4 linked regions of the Schizosaccharomyces pombe genome follow. Changing the gene in region 2 together with the main gene of any one other region gives a genetic interaction. Each region holds a gene or a part of one and is shown on either strand. Other genes may lie near its edges.

What was found.
Region 1: mutations in mrf1 (region 2) and cti6 together harm fitness more than expected from each alone (negative genetic interaction), as found in Schizosaccharomyces pombe (one large-scale study listed by BioGRID).
Region 3: mutations in mrf1 (region 2) and mug28 together harm fitness more than expected from each alone (negative genetic interaction), as found in Schizosaccharomyces pombe (one large-scale study listed by BioGRID).
Region 4: mutations in mrf1 (region 2) and SPOM_SPCC1020.07 together harm fitness less than expected from each alone (positive genetic interaction), as found in Schizosaccharomyces pombe (one large-scale study listed by BioGRID).

The regions. Positions count from the first base shown.
Region 1 is NC_003423.3:512,190-516,507, forward strand, and holds cti6 (Rpd3L histone deacetylase complex PHD finger subunit Cti6), read left to right. Parts: upstream 1-1,965; 5' UTR 1,966-2,026; coding exon 2,027-2,364; intron 2,365-2,534; coding exon 2,535-2,738; intron 2,739-2,782; coding exon 2,783-3,515; 3' UTR 3,516-3,764; downstream 3,765-4,318. Other genes in the region: vacuolar amino acid transmembrane transporter Avt5, read right to left, coding at 1-277; rps29 (40S ribosomal protein uS14), read left to right, coding at 4,253-4,314. UniProt on the Schizosaccharomyces pombe protein: Could be a component of the RPD3C(L) histone deacetylase complex (HDAC).
Region 2 is NC_003424.3:568,249-572,406, forward strand, and holds mrf1 (peptide chain release factor), read left to right. Parts: upstream 1-1,919; 5' UTR 1,920-1,987; coding exon 1,988-2,158; exon of another isoform or gene 2,159-2,300; coding exon 2,301-2,399; exon of another isoform or gene 2,400-2,485; intron 2,486-2,504; exon of another isoform or gene 2,505-2,636; coding exon 2,637-3,557; 3' UTR 3,558-3,628; downstream 3,629-4,158. Other genes in the region: phospholipase D Pld1, read right to left, coding at 1-1,029; putatiRho-type GTPase-activating protein Rga8, read right to left, coding at 3,746-4,158.
Region 3 is NC_003424.3:1,649,395-1,653,494, forward strand, and holds mug28 (RNA-binding protein Mug28, implicated in mRNA processing), read left to right. Parts: upstream 1-1,617; coding exon 1,618-1,747; exon of another isoform or gene 1,748-1,790; coding exon 1,791-1,947; exon of another isoform or gene 1,948-1,994; coding exon 1,995-2,682; exon of another isoform or gene 2,683-2,732; coding exon 2,733-3,587; downstream 3,588-4,100. Other genes in the region: pls1 (phospholipid scramblase), read right to left, coding at 218-1,363; mrp17 (mitochondrial 37S ribosomal protein bS6m), read right to left, coding at 3,894-3,912, 3,962-4,100. UniProt on the Schizosaccharomyces pombe protein: Has a role in sporulation.
Region 4 is NC_003421.2:769,775-773,877, forward strand, and holds SPOM_SPCC1020.07 (pseudouridine-5'-phosphatase), read right to left. Parts: upstream 2,190-4,103; 5' UTR 1,952-2,189; coding exon 1,919-1,951; exon of another isoform or gene 1,748-1,918; coding exon 1,705-1,747; exon of another isoform or gene 1,640-1,704; coding exon 1,577-1,639; intron 1,520-1,576; coding exon 948-1,519; 3' UTR 501-947; downstream 1-500. Other genes in the region: wybutosine biosynthesis protein Tyw1, read right to left, coding at 1-278; tal1 (transaldolase), read left to right, coding at 3,724-4,103.

The sequences.
Region 1 (4,318 bases), on a different chromosome or scaffold from region 2:
GAAAGGTGTGCTTGGCAACAGCAGCAAATGAAGCCTTTCCCCTCGGGAGTCGTGCGGCGCATTGGGAAACAAAATATAATCCTAAAAAAGAAGCGAATGCACTAAAGACGATGGTCAAACACCCAAACAACAGACCAGTCTTGGTAAACGCATTTGGTAAGGAAAGAATTCCAGCTCCCAAAATAGTATTGGCAAGGTTGATAACCGAAGAAAAGAACCCAGCTTTTCCAATATGGACGTCTGCTGGTCCAGAAGACAAAGGACTATACCCAGACATAAATTAACCCAAACTAGGAATAGAGAAAAAATCTAGGAAGCTATAAAATTGGTGTTTTTAGGAACCAACTTTACGAATTACAATTAAGTACTAAGCGTATGAGTATGCAAACTGATCGATTTTTTGGAAGAATCGTTCAAGAAAGTTATTTTAAAAGAAAATAAGAACTATGCAATATAAAAAAAATGGTTCTAAACAAATAATAGAACGTGGAATAAAAAACGCCTGAGAAATCGTAGAATAGAAATCAGCAGACAAAAAGAGACCAGCTCGATAAATTAAATTGTAGAATCTATTCAGAAGCCCGATAAATAATAGGAAAAATTATAGTACACGATGTATTAAAGCACCTTCCCAGCTGTACGAGTGGAATGCTCGTTCTTGGTTGTTAAAAGAGATGAAATTACGATATACAGATGCGATATCGCTCTACTCTGGTTTGCCAGCAGATATAAAAGCAATGAAATATTATTTCTTTTCTTACTATTACTAAAAAAATTGTTAATATTTATCACTATCATCTCAATTAATGAGTGACATGAGAAATTTATACCAAAATAGATATTTGTGGCACACGAATATTTTACCAACTTGAACACAGTATTAGCAGTAAATTAGAGAATTTTGTAAATTCTGTAGAAATAAAACGAATTTTTCATAGACATATATTTATATCAATAGAGCATTCGAAGTGGTGGAAGAGCATACAATTGATTTTTTCATCGAATAAATTTCAATAAAAAGAGAAAATTTAGAATTATAACAATTTCTCACTGTCAAACGTTGATCACAAGGATATAAATAGTTTTTTATTTTATTTCATAAGTATCTAGTCAGTTGAATATAGTATCGAAGAAAAATACAATCAAATTTCATTGTTTTGTTCATGAATTCCCGGTGAACCGAGTAGCAGTTGCTTTTCTGACATTGCGAGGAAAAAGCCTTTTTTAAAATGTAAGATGTTTTTTAGTTTCAAAATATGCACATACGCCATTCTAAAGATTGCAGGAACATCGTAAAATGCGAATACATGGAGATAATACCAAATATCATGTCGATATTACAAAACCTCTTTTAATTTATAAAAGCAGCAGCACCTTACAGAAATGATTTCACAACCTTCATAATACAGCTTATAATAATATGCATTCCCAAATCAAGTCAATTCTCATTTCAATAATAATTAGTACAGAGAGATAGCATAAAAAGTGGGTCAAACAAACCATACGTTTAATTATATGAAGTTTGAGATGAACATATAAGTTTCTTAATCTAATTCAACAGTGCTAAAGCTTTAGGAGACTTAAATAACCATTCCCAGACAAACCAGGTTCTCCGATGGTCAAGGGCAAATCAACGGGCAAAATGGGCCTATAAAAAAATGAAAGGTGTTAAACTGTTTATGTTTACAAAGATAATTGGGTTTTTATCAATTTTTTTTAATTAACTATCATTTCAATGCATTGGCAGTCTCCCTCTGGGCTTGAATCCTAGAATCCAACGTTTTTGCCATTCAACTATTTAACTATTACCAAAGTGCCATTACGACTTTGACCAAAAACATTCAATCACTAAATGAATATAAAAAAACAAATTTCCCATACATTAATTACTTAAAGCGTGAAGTTTCAGCAATTCGCGATATATTTCATTGATGTTGTAGTTGGTAAATGTATTACCTATCTTCCAATCCTTCACCATTCCCCAAGCGCACAGCACAATTTTTTAATAAAACGATTATTATACATTATGCCGAGTAATTCAACTCCCGCTAATGAAGAAAAAGAGGAAGAGTCTGAAAAAATTCAGAAATCTCCCGTAGACACACCCCACACGCCTAATGGCTCAGTTTCCGATAATGAAGAGAATGAAACATCGAGTACTGGAGAAGTAACCCGCTGTGTTTGTGGAATTGTCGAATCCGACGATGAAGCTAGTGACGGGGGGCTGTATATTCAGTGCGATCAATGCTCAGTTTGGCAACATGGGAACTGTGTGGGATTTGCTGATGAATCAGAAGTTCCCGAGGTATATTATTGCGAAATATGCCATCCAGAATTCCATAAAGTATATCAAAGGGGCAGAGGGTAAGTGTTGATAACAGATGAGCTTAAGGATTTAAAATGGATTTACCACTGAATACCTAATGCTTTAAACTAATTGCAGTGGTTTCCAAATATCTCCATTTTATTCTTTTTTCTCTTCTAGCAATTAAAAAAATTGGGTTTTTCAACTATTGTTACTAACTTCGCCGCAGGGCTAAACAATCAAAGTATCTTGGAAATGGAAAACCTATAGAAGCCAGTCAAACAGAAGAATCTTCATCTACTCCCCCATCTCCGGCAACCAAAAAGTCGTCTAAGCAACGTCTTACTATGAATTCCAGAGACGCCGCTCTTGATTATGAAGAGTATCTTGCAATTGCTAAGGAAAAGTCACTAATACCGAGGAGATCTAGAGGGTATGGTCATTGATATTCATAGATGATATACTAACTGTTTTTAGGCGAACTTCATCGAAGTCTCTTTCTCCACCAGCTCCCCAAGATGAATCGCAAGGAACCGAAATAAATTTAAAACAAAAAATTGAAGAAGAGAATGATGAAATTTTAGAAGATAGTAAGGAGTCGAAGGACGAAAACGAAGAGAATAAAGAAACCTCTACTACTAATGTCGCTGAAACGGATGCCCCTGAAGAAGAAACTGTAGATACGGTTGAGGAGATTGCTGATGAAGAAAAGCACTCAGTAAAAGAGGAGTCTGGAGAAGCATCCCCTCAAAGCTCACAACAATCTACCATTACTTCTATTTCGACCACTACTCGGTCAACGCGAAAAGCTAAACGTGAAGCAGCGGCAGAAGACAAAGCGGATCTTCCAGCAGCTGTCGCACCGAAGCCTTCAAAAACAAGAAAGGTGGGAGGAAGAAGAGGAAAATCTAGTTCGAACGATAATCACCGAATTCCTCAATTACATCCGGATGGAACGTTCGTAGAGACCATAACCAAGCCTAAGGGATTGCACTCAAGAATCACTATGACTGAGATGCGGCGAAGAGTTGCCTCTATGCTAGAGTATATTGGACATATTCAAGTTGAAATGGCAGCTCAGTCTGCTGGTAATCAATCATCCACAAAGTCATCGAAAGAAGGCCCAGAAGAAGAGAAGGAAACTCTTAGGATGGTAGACAATCTCACCAGGGATTTATTGCATTGGGAACAACGATTCAGTCGAACTTGATGATGCTGTGTACTGTGTGAATTTACATCAGTAATATTAAAAAAAAGAAGCAAAGGAAGAAAAAAGGAGAAAGATGTGTTCAATTGAACATGTCAACATACATATATTTTTACTTTTTTATGATCTAATGGTTTCCTTTGTTGATTTATGATAGATATTTTGATAAAGATTTAGAGTTCCTTTGATGAGAGGGATATAATTTTTGTTTGGTTAATTGAAGAAATATAATTTATTATTATTTACAGGTTAAACTTTTGTATATTTTTTGAAATGAGCTATGTTTTTCGAGTACACCGATTTCCAAGTGAATGAGTAAAAACGTTCAAAAGTACTCACTAATTTAATAAATACAAGAGGTTTTGAAACTAAAAAAAAAAAAAAAAATCAAACGTAGAAAACACCACAATAACTACTTTCTGAAGGAAAATCCATCTTTCATTAAGTGCCTATTAAACCAGCTACAATATAATGTTATATAAGGCTTGGTACTGGAGAGGAAAAAAATAAATCCTGATTATTCCATCAATTGAACAAATATTTTAACTAAGTGTCTAATGAAAACAATTTCTACTTAAAAAATAGTACTATACATACTTTATTTACATTGTTGAGCACAATGTCAAATAACGAAATGCATTGTATTTCTCTATATTAGCCCTACCCTATGCCTAGAAGAGCAGTCACGACTTTCGTCTAGTAGAAGAAACGCTTGAAACAATCTCTACCTTCACACCAAAATGGCCCACGAAAACGTTTGGTTCTCTCACCCTCGCAAGTACGGAAAGGGCAGCAGACAATGGTAA
Region 2 (4,158 bases):
ATTTCCGTGTTTTTTTCTACCATTATTGGCATGCCTTGGTTGACCAGTCGTCCGATCACCATCTTGCGAATGTGACTCCCATGATATGTCAGAAATGCTATGTGTTTCATCAATAAGTTGGTCACTGGGATTGGAATACAGTATTTTTTGATAACCCCGGAGTTTCACCAAGTAAGGGAGCACTTCTTTTGGAAATTTAGGCAATTTCATGCGTCTTCCGGAAAATCGATGTTGAAATTCAAAAAAAAGAAAGTGTGAATGAAGATTTATGAAATCGCGCAACTGTCTGTAAATCAACCAACGGATAGCATGTGGCCCAGTACCATATTCAACTTGAATTGTGAAAGTACTGTGTATGCGATTATGTTTAGGCTCCACATCAAGCACTGAGACCTTTATTAGGTCGGTAATAATAGGCAATACCGGCTGCCCAGATTTATCTCGAATAAAATGCTTGGCTATAGGTAAAGATGCAGGTATGCCTGCTTCGAAAAGATTAATAGCAGGCAAGTTCTCCTTTAATATAGGCTTTTCATCTTCCCTTTTAAATTTGCGAACAGAAGCCATTAATTGTGCCCACATTTGTCTGGCAGAATTACGGTTTGCCTTACTTGTATGGGCAGCAGCTGCATCACGTTCGTCTCTCTCTAAAGGAGGAACTTCAACGTTCTCATCCTCCATTGTCTGTGTGATAAATTCTGGAGTTTGCACTCTTGTACTATCATTCGCAGCAAGATCGTTAACGTTTTCAGAGGCTGTATGCCAAGAAGACCCCCGGGTGTGTTCCAAATCGGGCCGTTTTGGAGGATTTAAATTAACAAATTCAGAGTAGTTTTTTGGATCATTCTCAGGAAACGATGGAATAGAATGGTCGACGTTTTTTTCAAGATCTGTAATTTTGGATGGTGTGTGATCTTCTGCATCTTTCCGTCCTGTCCCCTTTTCAGAGTAGATGCTATCATTTACATTTGTGTTTAACGAATAAGGTACATTATCAATCACTGAATTTCCACCTTGATGAATTGTCATTTTGTTATTAAATTAGCAATTGGCTAAAGTTTTTTTGAGACTCAGGGAAATCCAAGTCCCTATGGAGAAAAGCCAATGCTTTATAAATGAGTAAAAGCCAAGAGGGCTTTATTGAACAAATCCCAAAAACAGTTTAAGTGGTTTGGTAAAGCTTAGCTGCGCATTTCAAAATGAATAATACACCATCATGAAAGCTTGGTTAAAGTTTCGTTTAACTGCGCTAGCATAAATAAGGAAACTTTATGAACAATACAAATGTTTATTTACATCGCTATTGTGTAGTTTAATGGTATTTGTCCAATGGATATCGATGCTTCCTACAACCAAATTATTTTTTCTTGAAGAGTTCGTCTCCCTTTTATTGTAATCGTCGAGCAAGAGTTTGTTCAGCTCAACTTACATTAGCTTATCAAAATTAACAATACATATCTCTACTAGTTGTCAGCTATTCCTCACTAAATTATTATTGCACTATGTTAAATACCACTATATTGATTTACGTTTCCACTTTCAAAGTCGTTAATACAGCAAAAAGCTACACAAATGCCCTACATGAGACTTAGATATTTGCGTATTATGCTATTATAAACAATGTGCCTACGTTCCTCAATTCCCTGATTATTATACTATGCAGCATAGTTATTGCTAGCCAAATTAATTATAACTGTATTCGTGGCGACTCTACTCATAAAATAATAGCAAACTCTTTCTAGGTGTATAGATTCGTAAAAAAAATTTACGAGTTAAGAATGCGTACACAAAATTTTACTTTGCTGTGCACTGTCGGATTATAATGCATATCCGACAGAATTTGCAAGGACCTCCTTAAATATCATAAAAGTACTTATCGAAGAAGCACACCAAGGTCAGAAAGGCGGTTTTAACAGGTTAACACTAATTAGTTTTACTGCTAATTCTTTGAGTATGCAGAAATAAAAGAAACTCAAAATACAAGGTGATGCTTCTAACTAAAAAAGTTTTATGGTACTTTAGACATGGAATTGAATATCAAATTCGTAGCATTGCTTGCAAAAAAGGATACTCTGAGCATAACGTTTCAAGAGTACTTATTGAAAAAGCCCGATCGCTTTCTTCAGAGTATCTTCAATTCCATCAAGTAAATAATAAAGTAAGTGTCGGCAAACAAAGTGTGAAATCAGCCTGCTACTGTTCGAGATACAATAATAATGGTAATACAAGCATACCGGACATTAAGCTTTACTCATGAAAAATTAAAATCTGATATAAATGATCTAACTTATATCTTTTAGGATCAATCGGCAATGACAAACGATACAGATTTAGCAAAGCGAATCGCTAGGCTTCGACGCGTTCATAATGCATATTCGAAATTTAAAAGTTTGTCTGAGGTATGATATAAGACGAATTTGTCTCAAACTTGTAGTCAAAAGCTTTCCTTTTTTTTATTACTCTTCCTATTTATAGTAATCGATTTACAATGGTTTTTTTTTGCTAATGGGTCTATAACTTAAGACTTTTGCCAGGCATTTACTGTTTATCTAAGTAAAGCTATTTGATGAGCATGTTGAAATACTTAAATAACTAGTTTTTGAAAACCTTGATTTAAAAAAATTCTAACAATTTAGCAAATAAGCGATTTGAAACAAATGGAGGCCCAAGAGTCAGATGCAGAGGTTAAAATGATGGCAGTGACTGAAATAAACGAAATAAGTAATAAAATACCAAAAAGCATAGAAGATCTTGAAAACACATTACTTCCACAAGCTGATTCATATGCTCTTCCTGCATTAATCGAAATTCGTCCTGGTGTAGGAGGAACAGAGGCCGCAATATTTGCAAATGAACTAGTGGAAATGTATTTTCAGTATGCAAATTTTAAAGGATGGAATTGCAAATTTATATCAAAAAGTGCAGTCCAAGGACTTGAAGCGATAACGGAGGCCATCTTCTCTATTGAAGGTGAGGGAGCTTATGGTCATCTTATGTTGGAAGGAGGTGTTCATAGGGTTCAGAGGACTCCTGCTACCGAAACTAAAGGAAGAGTTCATACGAGTACTGCATCAGTAATCGTTTTACCTCAGGTGTCAAATGATGAATCCTCTTCTCTTTACGATTCATCTGAAGTTAAAATCGAAGTAATGAGATCTCGTGGAGCCGGTGGACAACACGTTAATAGAACAGAATCCGCCGTACGTTTAACACACATACCCACTGGTATCACTGTTAGCATGCAAGATTCTCGTTCTCAGCATCAAAACAAAGAAAAGGCATTTCTTGTACTGAATTCAAGATTGGCTGCCTTAAATGCCGCAAAAGAAAATGAGGCTGAAAGACTGAAACGTAAAAATCAAGTAACGTCTTCAGATCGTTCGGAAAAGCTACGAACTTATAACTTCAACCAAAATCGAGTAACTGATCATCGGATAGGTTTAAGCATGCACGATTTATCAACATTTATGCAAGGTGAAGAAAAATTTGACGAGTTTTTGGAAAAAATAAGAATATGGAATCGTGAACAGTTGCTATTACACTCTGAAATAGTATAGGAATGCTAATTTAGTCTAGTAAAATAGGAAGGTACAATAATATATGGTGGTCAAACTTCTATAGAGAAAAATGTTTATTAGGTATATGCAATGAATAATGAGAAAAGAATGTGCAACATGTCATGCAAATAAGATATCCATAACTGATCTTTAAAAAAGATCATAGGTTAACTCATAATAACATATTTTTAACTACCACTTAAACTGGAATCTCTTGAGGCGACTGCTTCGTTCACTATCTTTGCATCCTGATCAATAAAGATTGCGGCACTTTCATTGGAAGCAGAAGAATGGCTGAAATTACGTCTTGTCTTTCTAGTATTCAAGGCATACGACGATCTGATCAATGAGGTGGGCACATTTTCAAGAGTAAATTCAGATTCAGCGGGAATTTCTGAAGGTTGCAGCTCCTCAAACGAAGATCTTGGAGATTCGACAGCAGTATGAGATCGGACAGAAGAAATGGAGTCTGGTCTAGTTGGTGATACATCTGTACTCCGAGGAGTAGCAGAAGATTGATATAATACACGGTCAGAAACACGTTTGGATGAATTCAATTTTCTGAGTTCTTCAAAAATACTTGGTCCGTAAGTTAAAAGAT
Region 3 (4,100 bases), 1.1 Mb from region 2:
AGCCGTCTTCAACAAACTCTTTTGAAGAAATAAATTCAGTGATATAGTCAGTAGTTGTAAATTATGAGAAAAACAAAATAATGACTAGAAGGGATAGTAATAATAATAATAATAATAAAAACAGTAATAGTAATGACTAATCAGATTTAACTTTTTAAGGAGAAAAAGTATCTTTTTGGATATATCGTTAATAAATAAATAATAATCAGTTGAACAATCAATCATCCCCGTCACGGTCAAAAATATCCCAAAAATCTTGCTGATCCAAGTCTGCATCAGACAAAAAAGGAGACTTCGTTTCAGATGAAGAATCATTGGTGGAAGGCGTAGTTTCCTGGTCGTTTTTTAAAATTTCCTGAGCAGACAGGTCTTCAGCTGGATAATCGTGGTTGGAGGAAGAACCTCCAAACATAAACGGAATATTCAGTCCCAGTGCTGGGCCACCATGAATACGGCTAAAATAATCAAAATCAATAGTGACAGCACTGCCTAGCATAACTGCCCTTTCTTCTAAACTCATATCACGTGCACAAACATCATTAGCGATTCCATGAGCAGCTTGAAGCAATTGATTTTCATTTACAGAACCATTGGCTGCACTCGTAGAGGTAAATCGAAGAACGTAATTACCAGTATCAGTAAAAAATTCACGAGGAAGCCCCATGAAATTCCGTGAAACACTACCTAGGATGCGATCCTGCTCGTTTCGCAACAGAAACTCCCAACTTAGCACTCGCTCATCAATTTTGGCAAACTGTTCAAACATAGAACGCTTCGCAAGGAACAATTCATAGCGACGGCGCCATAAATGCCATTTTTGAAGGACTTCGCCAACTAAAGTAGACGAGAACTTACTGTAATCAATAGAATGAATTTGTAACCGGGAGTTTATCCAAGAAAATGGTCGATTGAGTTGTAACACCAACTGGCCGTTACTGTCCATTACATCTGCCTTAAACGCACGATGTGTGTGGAAAAATTGTCTTGATAAACTTGATAATATGGATGAGGCACCCTGTTCTGCAATGTATCCAAGATGCTGACCTTGTTGGTTAAGAATTACATAGCGGTTAGCCTGTTCATAACCAAGAAAAACATTCATCATTTCAAGTTGCCTCTCTACTATAAGAACATCTTGTGATAATAAAGGGGCCGCTGGAGAATTTAATGGAATAGCTCCAGTACTGCTAATGGCAGCAGGCTCTTGAGAGACTACTTTCGCTGTAGCGTCAATGTATCGTGTAGATTTGCTATGATGATAAAGGCGACATCCAAACCGTTTGAGCCCATAAAGCATAGTTAAATGATTACTGGAGACAAAGGTTTGAATTGGAGTAATGTTAGCCCATAGAATTTCAAGCATAGGTTTGAGAAATTAAAATTAGTTTGTGGTTCACCTATACCACAGAGGGTTGCTGAGACAAATATGTAATAAAGGCTGTGTAGTAAGTTTCACAATTTAAAATAGCACATACTATGCGATTACCTTAAAGCTTTACGAAATATAGGATACTACATTAAATTGCTTATGAACAGCTAACATTGCGGTAATTTCCTGTTTACTTTTGTTTACATTGAGAATTCCGAATTCTATAATTACCAACTAGACACATCACAATGATTGCACTTGAAAAACTTTCAGAAAAGAACAAAAGGAGCACTAAGAAGTGTGAAATTTCCATTTACGTAGGGAATTTACCTTCAACGTGCCAAAGCTCAGATCTTCATGAACTGTTTGAACCTTTCGGTAATCGTATATGAATAAACAATTTTTTCTCTAACTGTTTAAGGTAATTTCTCAAAATTCCACATGCTAAGTAGAAAGAAGAATAAGAGTACTGACTCTAAATCCCCAACTTTATTTGCATTTATCACATTTGAAAACAAATGTAGCGCTGACAACGCAATTGCCTCCTTAAACGGGAGTTCGTTCCAAGGAAATACTTTGTACGTAGATTTTAAAATAATAAACGCTAATAGAGCAACAATTATAGGAAGGTCGAGTATACGCATATCGTGGAGAGATACAAAAATAAGTTGGAAAATGGAGTTGACCAAATTCATCACTCGAATAATGAAAAAGCAAAAATTCGGTTTTCAAAAATAGAAAAGTATACAAAGGAAACACGACCGACAGTATCAGAGGTTCGAGTTAGTACCAAAGACAAAAAGGAATATTCGATGAATACCTCAAATTTAGTTCAATCAAACCCCCCAAAAGTGCACGACAAAGAGAATGCATTTGCAGAAGCAACAGGAACTAGTATACTTAGCTCAAAAGCAGTTCAAACACTCTTAGTTTCAGATTTCACGGAGAATGAGCCAAAGCATCTGTCTATCAGGCCAAATTGCAAAGATAATAATACACCGTCCATTTCTAACACTTTTATTGAGCCATATAAGGAAAATAACACGGAACATTTACACCTAAAATCTGCTTTTGAACCCTGTCAAATGATGCCAGGTATGCTTCTAGAACAGAATCCCCAATTTTTGTACGACAACCCTTCTATTTTTGTGATTGGGATTTTAAACCTTCCGTTGAAAGTATCACCAGTCGAGCTTTACAATGAGTTTAGCAATCATGGTCACATTCTCGGTGTAGCCATCAATCAAAGCATAAATGAAGATATGACTCACTACGCAGAAGTGGCTGTGAGCACCTATGAAAGTTGCATAGAGGTATTAAGCAAGCTATTTTTTGCTATAGCATTACTGACCTTTTAATTTAGATCATTGAAAAATTTCACGCCATTGCGTATGAAGGATCCATTTTACAACTTTTTATAAAACAACCTGTTCAGGGATTTTGCTCTAATTTGTTAAATCACCCAGAAGGAACCATGACAAATTTATTGCCCCCAAATATGGAAATGCCTCAGCCGTTTGAAATTCCAGTGATTGCCAAAACTTCTGCTTTGCCAAATCCATTTATTTCATTCCCTTCTTTCCAAACATCGTATGAAACGACAGTAACGCCAACACCAACCTCAACACCGACAATTGATCCTTGTAATTTATTTGTTAAAAACTTGGATGATAATATAGTAGGAAACACACAACAATTAGAAGAACTGTTTTCGAAATTTGGAAGGATAAAATCTTGCACTTTAGCGTCGTATCCCAGTACAGAAATATCCAAAGGCTATGGTTTCGTATCCTTCAGTCATCCATTTGAAGCTGTGCAAGCAATTAACACGTTAAATGGAGTGTTATTCGGAAAGAAAAGATTATTCGTGAATTATGCAGAAAAGAGAGAAGATCGCAAAAAGCGACTGAGTGCTATATTTAGCCAATCTTACCCTCCAGTTGTTCCATCGCCCTCTCTAACAATTCCAATGGCTACTGAACCACAAATTTTAGAGTATCATCAGGAATGGCCTCAACCTCTAATACAATCTATACAGCAGCACGGGTATAGCGATCCTAGACAAACATTACCAACTCGTTTAGATTCATGTGCCGCTAAGCTACGTGAAGCGGTGATTTCAAACGAAAACCTAAACCCAAGCCATAAATTCGGCATAAAACACTCCACATTCAAAACTTCACTATCGCCTTTAACCAACATTGTATTAAACCAATAAATAAAAGCAAGATATGTCTAAAGGACATAATATCAGTACCTGTCGTTTAAATATTTTAACAGTTCTTTTTTTTAATCTATCTCCCATGAAATTTAGGGACATAGTATTATACAAAGAAGATCGGAAAAAGTTGAAACACAAGGAGTCGTTAACAACGGTTGAAATTTCACATTTTAGCTCTGGAAAAGTATGTTTATTTTATAAAAGAAGAAAAGAAGAAAAAACCCCAAAAAAACAAGAATAATAAAAGATAATTGGACAGCTCTGCGAATATTTTTATTTTCTCAAAATATGAATACGCTCATTCTACATTAAATCACTCAATCTACACAAAAGGAATTAGTATAATAAAATAGTTTATAAAAAGAACATACTTATCTGCTTTTTTGACGATCATATAGCGAAGAACCGAAGGTTCAAGTCTCAGAATCCTCTGTATCTCAGATTGAACTGTGGGGTTACTGTAAAAGGTCATAGACCACCAGTGACCAAAAGAGTAAGATTGATTTAGTT
Region 4 (4,103 bases), on a different chromosome or scaffold from region 2:
ACACAAAGAGGAGAGTTTTTCCAATCAATAGTATCATTTTGTTTACGAATGGAAGAGGATGGCGAACCGATCTTTCCCCTTTTGCCAACCCGCTTAAACCTTTTAACTTCTCTCTGTTTCTTTACCTCATCTTTTTTCTCGCTTGATTTATCTGAATTGGACAATTGGGTTTTTCGTCGAATCAGAAAATGGATCAGTACAGGCAGCAGCAAGACTATGTACAATACAGCCCGGTATTCTTCCCAATGCTCCCCGATGTACCCCAAAGAATACCCCATGGCAATGATTTACCACTGGAATTTAGCAAAGAAATAGTATCCTTGGTGGTTGGAAAAAGGATTCTTTGAGGTGTGGCATATGGAAAAGACACAGGCAAATTTCACCAATAAGCGCCAACAGAACTAAGTCCAGCTAGAGAGTACTAAAATGAAGGATGAACTTTTAAATTAATTTAAAATTTTTACTTATTTGTTTATTTTATGATTAATTTTACCTTATTAATATATAAGTGCTTTCATCTAAATGATGGAGTGCTGGCCAAAAAGGTACTTTTTGTAAAAGTCAACATTCTTGAAAATCAAACTATAAGAAAAGCAATATCTCTTAAAATACCTCATGTGTAGTAACATTTAGAAAAATTGCTAGATAGCTAGTGTTAGACGTAGTGAAAATGATACTTGGAGATGAGACACTTTCAAACGATTGAAGAAAGAATCAAGGATGAGGGCTTTGTAATGATTGTTATTTGTGAAAAGTATTCAAAAAAGATTTGGAATGTTTGATGAGAGTTCATTTTTAAAGATTTTACGACATGGGAATATATCAGTAAAACGAAGAATAAAAAGTAAATAATGCAGCTAGCATGCTGCGTCTTAAATAAAGAGCAAAAAAAAAGATATAAAGCAAAAGCGATAAATGAAGAAAGTAAGAGAAAGAAACCAATTCAACTATACCTTTGTAACATCGAAATTCTCCAAGCTTAGCACCTTTGTTATATGCTTGTCCGCAGCTTGTTCTGGAGAAAGAGAAAAAAAGGGAAGAATATTGACATCAGGAACCCACACAACTTTCATGCCTGCCGCCCGGCCTGATTGAACTCCTGTAATGGAATCTTCAAAAACCAAGCAGTTCTCTGGCAGGATTTCTGCCTGGCCTTGAGCCTTGCGCTTGTCGTTGATCATCTTCAAAGCGATGAACCAAATATCTGGGTGAGGTTTGCCTCTACCGACGGGTAATCGAGGGTCATCTCCAGTGATAATGTTTCCATCAAAATGATCAAACAAATGACTCAAATGAGCGGACTTCTTTTCAAAGTTGTGTGTGTCACTGGAAGTGGCTAGTGCTATAGGAATGTTTAGTGATTTCAACTTACTTAACAAATTCATAACGCCAGGTAAAGGCTTTGTATGCCTCCATAGTTCAGCTTGAGTTTCACGTTGTAATGCTATGTATTCTTCGCAGGTCAAATCAATACCCGACCAATCCAAAAAGATTCTGCTGGCCTCCTTTGAAGTTCGGCCTAAAGCATGAATGATTAGAAGGTTGAAAAAAACAACAACAGCTCAAAGCCACTTACCCATCATCTTAGCCTTGACTTCCATGGAGAAGGGGCCTTTGTTATAGCGCTTTAAAATGATATCTAGACGCACCGTTAGCCTAACCAATACCTTTGAACAGAAAGGGAAAAGGAAGAGTAAAACTTACTAGTGCTTTTTGTGTAGATTGACTCTGTATCGACCAACAAGCCCTGTATTCGTTAGATAGAAGGACACTTTATCGCTTTTCAAGTAGTATGCTTTAAGGAATCATCAGGCTAAGCACTTTTAAGTAGAATGAAAAACAAATAAACGATAATAAATATTGTATTTGTTGATCATGGACGCCGTAAATGATCCATATTATTTTACTATGTACGTACGTCCATATCGAAAAGACACGCCTCAGGAATCATCTTTAAAGTAAAGTAAGGGTTTTAATAAAAAGAATGTCTTTGTTTTTCTACGATGAAGAAAGATATTGTTGAAAGGATATATACTATTCGTAACAGAATGAAACCAATTTCGATCAGTATACGGACGAAAGCAGCAATGGGAATGAGATGAATATACGATAACTTATCAAATAATTCAAGTTTAGACAATCACAGTCGTCCTTAATAAATTCTGCTAGAAGTAGTCAAACGTGGAGTTGACAAGTTGCAAGACGAGCCATTGTTTAGGCAAAGGTGAGAAATAGAATATTTGTGGCATTAGGAAAGCTTTTGGACTTGCAAATAGAATTGCTTGAAAATAATGAGTGTAAAGAGAGGTAAAGTTGGCGAATTTGTTGAGTCAGGGATTGAACTTGATTCATCTAAATGATAATGTTATGGTAAGATAAAAAGAAACTAGAAAAAAATAGAAGAAAGTTTATAAAGTGCAATGACATTGAATTTACTCGACTCTCTTCCTATTACACGACAAGCTCAGTTTATGGATGTTTATTTGTCTACAAACAATTCATTCACGTGTGACTTTGAACTTGACCGGAAACATGTTACAGAAGGTGGTTTGAAAGTAAAATTGATACGGGAATGGGTGTCTTATTGAAAAACTACAAAGCTGTACTCGATGACTATGGAATGTCATCAGGTGGATATACAGATAGCTCTTTTTAAATGTCGAGTGAGATATCGGTGGTTTATTTTGAAGAAAATTACTTAAAAAGTGATTAAAGTAATAATAAGTAATGAAAGTCAAATAAAAGGCCTTACGATTATCTGCTCGTCAACTATGGGTATACAGGTGTATCTCACACTATGCTTGAAGATTTCGCTGACGATTATATAGACAATGTCCATAAACAGGTTAAAACCAAGCCTTTTTAATTACGAACTTGACCATTTCTGAAGACTGTAGATACCTTAGAAGCTAATCTCATTTGTATTACTGTAAGAGGCAATTCGAATCGACAAGAGTGTAGGTAGAAGAGTATACCTATCCAAAGAGTATCAGATGCTTTTACCAATTTAAGAGTTTTCCATGGATATGTATTCAATTTTAGGTCCAACTATTTAACACTTGTGCGAACATCGATCATGTCCGATGCAGCAACTTGCTGCTGTCATGTCGCTCAAACCAAACAAAAGAAATGTGCCAATTAACAAAATATTTCCAATACTATACTTGTAACGTTCTAGCATTAATACATACCTTAAGGCACTACTTGCAATCAGCCCAGTCATGTCAATCTCTTCAATATCTTGTTCGGGATCCCGCTTGCGACCAGCGCATTATTTTTCTTAGATTACTGACATTATATATTTCAATTTGGAACAAAAAAACAATCTGATTTCGACCATTTTTTAAAATTTTTCTTTTTCATAAATTTTTTCGACTTTTCCTATACTTTCGATGGTGAAGAATGCATTGAGCACAGTCTGCAGCTTCCATTTTTTTCTTCTGAAATTTTATAGTAAAATCGAAAGTTTTTCATCTGCTTAAGCAATCAATTAAATCTAGACAAACATTGCTAAGTTCTCCGCAAATTCAAAGAAACTTTGGCTGACGTACCTAAAATGCTTAAGTGGAAGTTTCCACGCTACACACAACTTAACCAGAACCTATATCCTTAGGAACACCAAGAAACTCAGAAAAGGTATGTTTGTAGTGTTTTTTAGGAAAAACGAAGTTATTTGTCTGGAAAAAGTATTTACTAACGAGTTTTTGAGGTAGTTTTATCAAAATGTCTTCATTGGAACAATTAAAGGCCACTGGCACTGTTGTCGTCTCCGATACTGGAGATTTTGAATCGATCGCCAAATACAAACCCCAAGATGCCACCACAAACCCTTCTCTCATCTTGGCCGCTTCTAAGAAGCCCCAATATGCTGCTCTCGTCGACGCTGCTGTTGACTATGCCAAGGCAAAGGGTGGTTCCATCAACTCTCAAATTGAGATTGCTTTTGATCGTCTTTTGATCGAATTCGGTACCAAGATCCTCGCTATCGTCCCTGGCCGTGTCTCCACCGAAGTTGATGCTCGTTACTCTTTTGACACCCAAACTACTATCGAGAAGGCTCGTCACCTCATCAAGTTGTACGAAGCCGAGGGCATTGGTCGTGA